2 linked regions of the Oryzias latipes genome follow. Each later gene encodes a partner of the first gene's protein in a complex. Links are inferred from orthologs where the notes say so. Each region holds a gene or a part of one and is shown on either strand. Other genes may lie near its edges.

The links.
Region 2: tubgcp3 (region 1) and nme7 share a complex: the UniProt entries of both Homo sapiens proteins name them as parts of the gamma-tubulin ring complex. The link is inferred for Oryzias latipes from reciprocal best matches to the Homo sapiens genes TUBGCP3 and NME7.

The regions. Positions count from the first base shown.
Region 1 is NC_019860.2:22,839,814-22,844,396, forward strand, and holds part of tubgcp3 (gamma-tubulin complex component 3), read right to left. Parts: intron 4,281-4,583; coding exon 4,203-4,280; intron 4,073-4,202; coding exon 3,870-4,072; intron 2,884-3,869; coding exon 2,708-2,883; intron 1,824-2,707; coding exon 1,711-1,823; intron 763-1,710; coding exon 637-762; intron 551-636; coding exon 434-550; intron 1-433. UniProt on the Homo sapiens protein: Component of the gamma-tubulin ring complex (gTuRC) which mediates microtubule nucleation.
Region 2 is NC_019862.2:27,522,427-27,525,857, reverse strand, and holds the end of nme7 (nucleoside diphosphate kinase 7), read left to right. Parts: exon of another isoform or gene 1-82; intron 83-1,809; coding exon 1,810-1,917; intron 1,918-2,357; coding exon 2,358-2,390; 3' UTR 2,391-2,412; downstream 2,413-3,431. UniProt on the Homo sapiens protein: Possesses an intrinsic kinase activity. Displays 3'-5' exonuclease activity with a preference for single-stranded DNA. Does not seem to have nucleoside diphosphate kinase activity.

The DNA.
Region 1 (4,583 bases):
ACACCAACTTCCCAAATGAAGCTCATTTCAAAATGGAAATGCGGCCGCAGTTCCCCAAAGTGACCACTGGGGGTTGTTTACAATCGAATTTCAATGAAACTTGCCCTCTCTGTCGTTTGGTATAACATTTATGACGACTGTACCTGACGTTTTTGAAGGTACCTTTTATGAAAAGATCAGACCAAAAAGGGGGCGTGGCCTCGTATGACTGTCACCTTTCCCACTATTTATCCAATTTTTAAAGGCGTTTCAAAGATGGCTACGACCACAGAGTTGAACCCACTGCGTTTGCATCAAGGGTCCATGTCTTTTACCCCCCCCCCCCACCACCACCACCACCACCACCACACACACACACACATAACATGTTGAATATCTAAAATTCTCTTCAGAAAAACAGACTAAGATGGTTTCGTAGGTGTGGATTTTTTACAAAAACACGGTGGACTTGAGGCGCCTCCTCCTCCCGTAGCGGGTTTACCTGTGAGTGGAGGACCGAGAGGAGCCGGTAGTACTCCTTCAGCTCCTGATGGAGCGCGGCACAGAAGCTCTGAGGCAGACGGAGAGAGGCAGACGGGCGTTAAGGGCGGATACATCCAAGAACAAGGACCACTGATGGAGCCGAAGCACACGCACCTGCCCCACCAACCCGAAGGCCCGGTCCAGGCTCCTGGCGTCCGTGTACTTCCGCACTTTGTTGTGGAGCCAGCCCAGTTCGGCCAGTCTGCTGCTGGTGTCCCTCAGGGATTTGCATAGCACCACCTAGTGAGGAAACGTCAGCTCGAGTCGAGGAGAGTCGTAACAAATACTCTCAAAACGACTTTATGACGTCAACGAGCTGGACTCAATACTAACAGAAATAACAATAATTACATTTATGATACTTTTTTTCATGTCGTGCGTGAGTTGTTTATATTTCCCGAGGTGATGGGATTTTCTGAGACCAACGACTCACAAGCTTTTAGGAGCTTTTAAAATCCAGGAATCAAGCTTGATCTGAGCAGAAGGAAGGACTTTTTTTGCTCAGATCCCGTTTGACCCCGCCCCGTTTTGGGGATGCCTCATCCTCCTAGCCTCTGAATCGACTGTATGGGCTTAGAGAAGTGTCCAAATGAATCGTACGCTCATAAAATAAAAGTTGTTTACAGAAAAGGAAAGAAAAAAAGAACGATTTTTTATTGGGATTAATCTGTTTTGAATATTGTTTTGGATATATTAACCACCTTTGATTACTGTCAAAAACAGTAATTGGTAGTATTTTCATTTTCTAGCATTCCTTTTACTATTAATGGTTTGTTACAGGGCTTATATCACACACTATAAAAGTTTTACATTTTGAGTGATAGATCAAATAAGGCACTAAAGGTTGCGTTTGGTTTGCTCAAGAGTGCAAAGCTCCGTCTCTGAAGTGTCATCAAGATGACGATTGTTTTTTTTTTTTACCTTCTGAAGGAAAAGGTGCATTAAATTTTCATGTCCTGAAGGACAGCTTTTGTGTGAAGACTAAAAAAAACAACTAAAAACATCCCATTATCTCTATTCCTGCCTCGTTTATCTTGGTCTGGTGGAGCACTGAGTCTATGTTTAGGAGAAAATACTCCTCATTGATGAAACCACAAAGGCAAAAAACGGCATCTTTTATCCAGAGAGCTTCACATCGATCCGGTAAAGTGCAGCCCCCACCCCTCTGCTGGCTGCGGCCGTCAGTACCTTGCTGTCGATTTTGTAGCAGTTCTCCTGGACGTTCATCTTGATGAACTTCCCGTCGATTCCCTGGAAGACGTACAGGATGTCCCGCACCAGCGCAGCCTCGTGGACCTCACCTGGTGGACAGGTCACTCAATCATCATCTCCAAAAAAACCCACCTTAGAAATGGGGTTTACTTTGTAAAGCTTAATAAATATTCAAATTAAACTTTTTCCAAACATTTTTTTTTTTAGGTTTCCTTGAAAAGCTGCAAGTGATGAATTTTAAAGAAGAAGAAGAAAAATCCTCTGACTTTTATTAATTTTACCTGGAAAATTATCCTTTCTGTTCATTAAAACAGGAAGTGTTGGGTTGTTGTGCTTTTATTGTGAAAGCTGGACGTCTAAAGAAGAGGATGAGCTTTTATTTTATTTATAGATTTATTCTAAAAGTTCACATTTGATGGATTAACGATAGAAACAGGATAAAAATCATGATTTGTATTAGAGAACATAAAAAATAAACACAAGTTTAAATGAAACAAAGGACATTTTTAACAGTTTGTTTGCTTTAAAATATATTTAGCAGAAAATGTCTTCATTTTATTCATTTGAGCTTATGTTTCCTAATTTAGAAAGTTACATGTTTCTACACTGCATTATTTATTTCTGTAAATAAGTGGCTTTAATGTAAACATTTCTGTATCTATTTATAAATACAATAAAAGATTTTATTAACACATTTTACTAGAATGTTTTTCAATATTTGCATTCTCTGACCTCCATGAAATTTATTATTATTTTTTTTTACAATTTAAAGCCCATGAATCAATTTTTATTGATTGTTTCTAATATTTCTGTAGCAGAAATTATTTTTCTTAGAGTTTTTTTTATTAAAATAGTTAAACATTTTGTGGGAAATGTATTATTTTTTCATTAAAGTCCCTAATAAATGATTAAATCTGAAAATCGTGGCTTCATGAATCCGATTTACACTGCGGAGCGTGTCCGCATCGCTCACCAGTCAGATCGGCGTCTTGGCGAGGACGGATCACTCTGGCCGTCGGCACCGGAGGTCCGAGGGGAAGTCGGGCGCTGGGCGGGGCCAATGCAGAAGGGGAGGAGCTTATGGGAAGAGCCCAGGCTAACCGTGAGCCCAGAGTTGGAGCAGCTCCAGCGGCAGACGGAGGCACCTGACTGAAACATAGAAACAAAAAAACCAACACATCACTTGAAGGAAGTGCGCTGCAGACACACAACACAATAAGACAACCCGATGAAAACGACATCCAAATGTAGCATTTCTTTATTCAAAGTCACTGAACGGGGCTGTCAGACAGAAAAATATCCTCGGATGAAACCTGAAAGAGCAGGAAAAAGAACAAATAAAAATAATAAAAAAGGCTCTTTTAGAGTTTCAGAAAAAGTTTAACAGAAAAAAAAATCCAAATTAAAATATTTCTTAACCTAAACCTGAAAAAATGCGAGAAAAGAAACTCTTGGACTAAAAGAGCTTCTAAAACCGCAGCTTTTTTGCAAAAAGAAAAAAAAAAAAGACCAAAACTGGAAAAACTTCAATAAAACTACAGTACTACTAATTTATTTGATTTCCTTCTTTTTTAACTTCTTCTTCTCCTGTTTTATTTACTTCATTTCATCTTCACTCATCTTTCTGGAACCAGAAAAGTCTGGTTCATGTTTGTCACGGATGTTATCAAATTGATGGTTTCAACTGTAAACTAACTTCTTATTCTGGTTTTATTCAGTTTGCATCCAGAAAACTGACATGAAAAACTGCATTAGTGCAAATCAACCAGCTTTCTGCACTTTGTGCATATGTAGCTATAAAAACTCAGAAACAGCCTTAAATGGCGGCTAAAACAGCCTTTTTACGGGTCGGTTCATCTGCTGCTGCTAGCTTCATCGCTGTGGGTTTTATTAGACCACAGACTAACGAGTTTGTTCTCCTAAAAGCCACGGCCACGCCACGCAGTAAGTAAGTAAATCTTTATTTATATAGCCCTTTTCTCAGATTCACAAAGTGCTTCACAACTTAAAACAATAGAAATCACAAAAAAAGCAGCGGAAAAGTGAGAGTCGTCCTTGCAAAGTACAATGTTATTTTCTACCGCTTTGTGCGCCTCCTTTCTGCCCCCTCTGTGTGAACGGACCAGAGAGCTTACCCCCCCAGCAGCGACTGTGGCGTGGGGCCGTTCAGCGTGTACACCCCCAAGCTGGAAATCCCGCTGGTCCCGACGCTCCCCACCAGGGCGGCGGTCCGTTCCCCGTGACCCAGCGACAGGCTCTGGGGCCGAGTGCAGTAAAACGGGGTGGAGTGGGCGTCCCTGGGGAGGGCCTGGGCAAACAGGCCCCCGTAGTTTCCAACCTGAAACGAGACACTTTGGTCAGCGTAGTAAAGATGCGAGACGATCCGTGACGCAGCGAAATTATACAAGACAGAAGAGGAAATAAGATAGAAACATTGTGTTTGAGTCGTGGGGGGGGGGCGCGCTCACCCTGGAGGATGGTTTGCGGGGGTCTTCAGAGAGAATCAGCAGCAGGTAAAGAACCGCCCAGCGGTGCTTCAGAACACCCTGAAAGGTGGAAAACCGTCAAAATAAAAGCCCAGCATCCTTCAATCAAATGAAAGAAGATTCAATTTTGACCAAATTTAATAAAAAAAAAAATCATAGCTTATTAATTACTAACATCAATAGCTTTAAAATTAAAGTACGGCAAGAAACAAACAGAAAAATGGACAACAATCAAATAAATGTGGACTTTTAACCTTTCGTCTTCACGTATTTTGTTTTTTCCTCATTTATTCATCTAGTATTACAAACTCAGCTGAAATAGTGTCGTCAGAAGCCAGCAGGGTCGTTTTTGGAGGTTTATTC
Region 2 (3,431 bases), on another chromosome or scaffold:
GGGGGGGGCAGGCCATTCTGGACTACTGGTCATTTGCAACTCGGATTTCGAGCACACATTATGTAATCTTGTCAATTTATAAATCTACAACAACATGCCTCCCAAGAAACCCAAACAAAAGGTCCAAGCAGTCCGACAACAGGAGTCTTCATCAGATGAAGAGCATCAATGCAGCTTCAATGGCGTCTCCCCATTTATATGCAGGGCCCACGGTGACAGGGAATCGCCAGATTGGTCATCGCCGGGCCCCTGACCCAGGTCAGCAGCCCATTTCAGGTGCCCGCGCTGGTACTGCACAATGTCTAACAATGGGATGGTGGCTGGAGGGCGACGATCTGAAATCGGCTGATCATCTTGAAGACCCTTCAATTATCTAATTATCGTACGGCTGCCTTCCTGCTGTTAATCAAATGTTCCCGGGCAGCCACTGACTGATGTCAAAAAAATTTTGTACTTTTCTTAAAACCTCTGCAGCGTGTAAAAATGCGACTGCCGGGTCCTGCTTACAAATGTCGCCGTGCGGCCACCTGACCGATTTCCTAAAAAAACGCACATTTGGGTCGCCGTGCGGTGGCGTTTAGAGATATGTGACTCAGTGGACCGAGTGTGACGTCACCCATAGAAAATGGCGTTCTCTCAGCTCCAACCAAATGAGGTCAATTCAGTCGCCACTTTATGACGAAATGGACGTCGCCATGTTGGACCCATCAGTGCTGTCTGTTGGGCAAACATTTTGAACGTTTAGGGTGGGGGGCATCCGGCACCACATACTGCGGCATCTGATTGGTTCGTTTCTGGGGTTTAACTGACTTAAATATGAAGAACAAACGTCACACACCTAGGTGCGTGAAAGCTAATGGAAAAGACTTTCCTCAGTAACATTCAAAAATAATGTAGCTAAAAATCCACCTTTTGAACTTCCCTGAAACGTTTAAAATATCTTCGATGTTCTAAATTCAGTGAATTTTAGTTAACTTGCAGGTTAAGCTCTTAGTGATTGATTGTCTTGGTGGGTTAACTGAAGCCAAAGCAGAGCTCAGTTGGTCCACACTTCCTGTTCTTTCAGACGGAGTCTCTTGAGCTTCACTTCCACAATCTTTTGAACGTGTTTGTTTTGAAGGAGCATTTTTGTTTGGGAAGACAATGGATGCCTTTAAAGACAAGGCCGGTGCTGGGCTGCCCTTGAATCTTTTTCCTGCATCCTGTGCACTCTGGTGTACGTCAGCGCAGTAACCGTTTCTCTGCCACCAGACTCAGCCTGCAGTAACCGAACATCTACGACAGCTTCATCTGCACGACTCGTGCGTTACCACACTCTTTGACCAACGGTCTTCTTGCTGAATTGAATTCTCTCCAGCTGATGAAGAACCCTGTGGGAGGGTTACATTTCCTGGAGACTCTCAGCCCAGCTTTGACCTTGGGAGTGTCTGATCTTGAAAGGAAGCCCTTTTTTCGAGATAAATACTTTTTCCCAGAAAGAAGTCCCTGCTGTTTCTGAGCAAAAACCTGTTATTTTCAGGGCTTTTATATGTCTGAGGTGGTTTGGAACCACAGGAAAAGAACTGAGAACAGTTTAGGTAATCAGATTGTTTCCACTTCGAATGAGAGGTGAGCTTTTTTCCACACTTCTAAAGGATCACATGTTGCTTTGCTGAGTAATCGGTGATTTAGTAACACCCTTGAGAACAGGATGTGCTGTGTCAAAATCTCTGTGAATTCAGACCGCATGTGTGCCGCTCCAGTTCCCCTTTGTTCCTGATAACTTAAGTTTCAGTTGAATTCCACAATGGAGATGTTTTCCTTCAACAGGAAATCGCACGGCATCTTCGGCCCAACACGCTGCGCGCCCTGTACGGCAAAGACAAAGTACGGAACGCTGTCCACTGCACAGACCTCCCTGAAGACGGGGTTTTGGAGGTGGGTAGCACCCATCCACATTGTTCCTTGCACTTTGTCCTTTGGTTCATGCATAGGCGACCACCTTTCCTTTAGCAAAAACAGAACAGCCATGAGCCCCGACGTTCTTTGTGTTTGCAAACGTCTCGTGACCTCGCTCCGTGGGCTGGGGCAGCCTCAGATCACGCTGGCTTTGAGGAGAACAAGAAGGGCCGGGGAATTTCAAACAAAAGCATTGTTTTTGCAGAGTGTGGGCCTGAACCGTCCGACGTCATTGTTCAGGAAAACTCCTGATCTGTCGCCTGGACAAATGCCTCCTTGTTAAACATTAGCTGGCGACTGACTGAGCTGCCATTTTCCCAAGACATATTGACCAAGCAAGAGCTGGTGCAGAGTTTCCAGTGACATCAAACAATGAGGCGTCACACAGATCTCCTGACAGTGTTCACTCTCTTTTTCAGGTGCAGTACTTCTTCAAGATCTTGGACACATGAAATATTTGTTTTATTTGATACCAAAAAAAAAAAATTGAGTTTTTCTCTCCATTTTTCTGTTTATTGTTTCAGCCTTATGCAGATTAAATAAAGTGACAGAATGAACTCCTGACAGGTTTTGTGATCTTAAACATTGAATTAAGTATTTTCACACCAACTAAGCATGTTATTACACGGGATACTGCGATGCCTCTGATATTCTCTAAGTTCTAAACCAGCAACTTTGGTATTGGATTCAAACATCACACTTTGGAAAAAAAAATGTACAACTGCATAAATATAAAATGATTCCATCGTGAAAAATGGCTAAAACATTTAATAGAAAGTTGCATCACACTCTTGTGATGTCTCCAGCAAAACAGATTTCAAAGCACTGAGTTGCCATGGTTTCCATAGAGGTGACAGCCTTTGCGGATGAAGCCGCAATGCTCTACTCTACGGATTAAAACTTGAACAAACGTTAAGAATCAAACAGAAATGTCAAATCATGTCTGACAGATAAAAAGAGACACATGTGTACAAATGCAGAACATGCAACAAAACAAAAAACCGAAGGGTTTAACGGAGCGCAATCAGAGTACCATGTAGTTAAAACGTACTGACAACAACCCCATGCACTCATATTTAACACACCTGCACACGGACAGCAGCGCGCACACACCTTGGACCACTAAAGCTGACATAAAACAGATTACAACAGGACTACGGCTGAGGAAACGACGTGAGGATCAATACCTTGGGTGGGGACAAAACACAACTCGCTACATCTCAGTAGTGGAATTGCAGTTTTATACAGTAACCGAACATCCCATGGCTCAAAGAATATTTTCTTTTACAGTAGAATAAATATCATCTATTGCTATTCTTGTTATTAACTCTCTAACTTGCGACAAAAACACGGATAAGCGGGTGTAAAGCACACGAATTAGGTGTAGGTCCTGTATATTATGAATGTTCAAAGACTAGTGGTGTTTATCAGAACTTCTTCGTTACTAACTAGGTTTAGGTTGCTTTCAGTGTTAAGTGCTCGTCGCGGCCGAG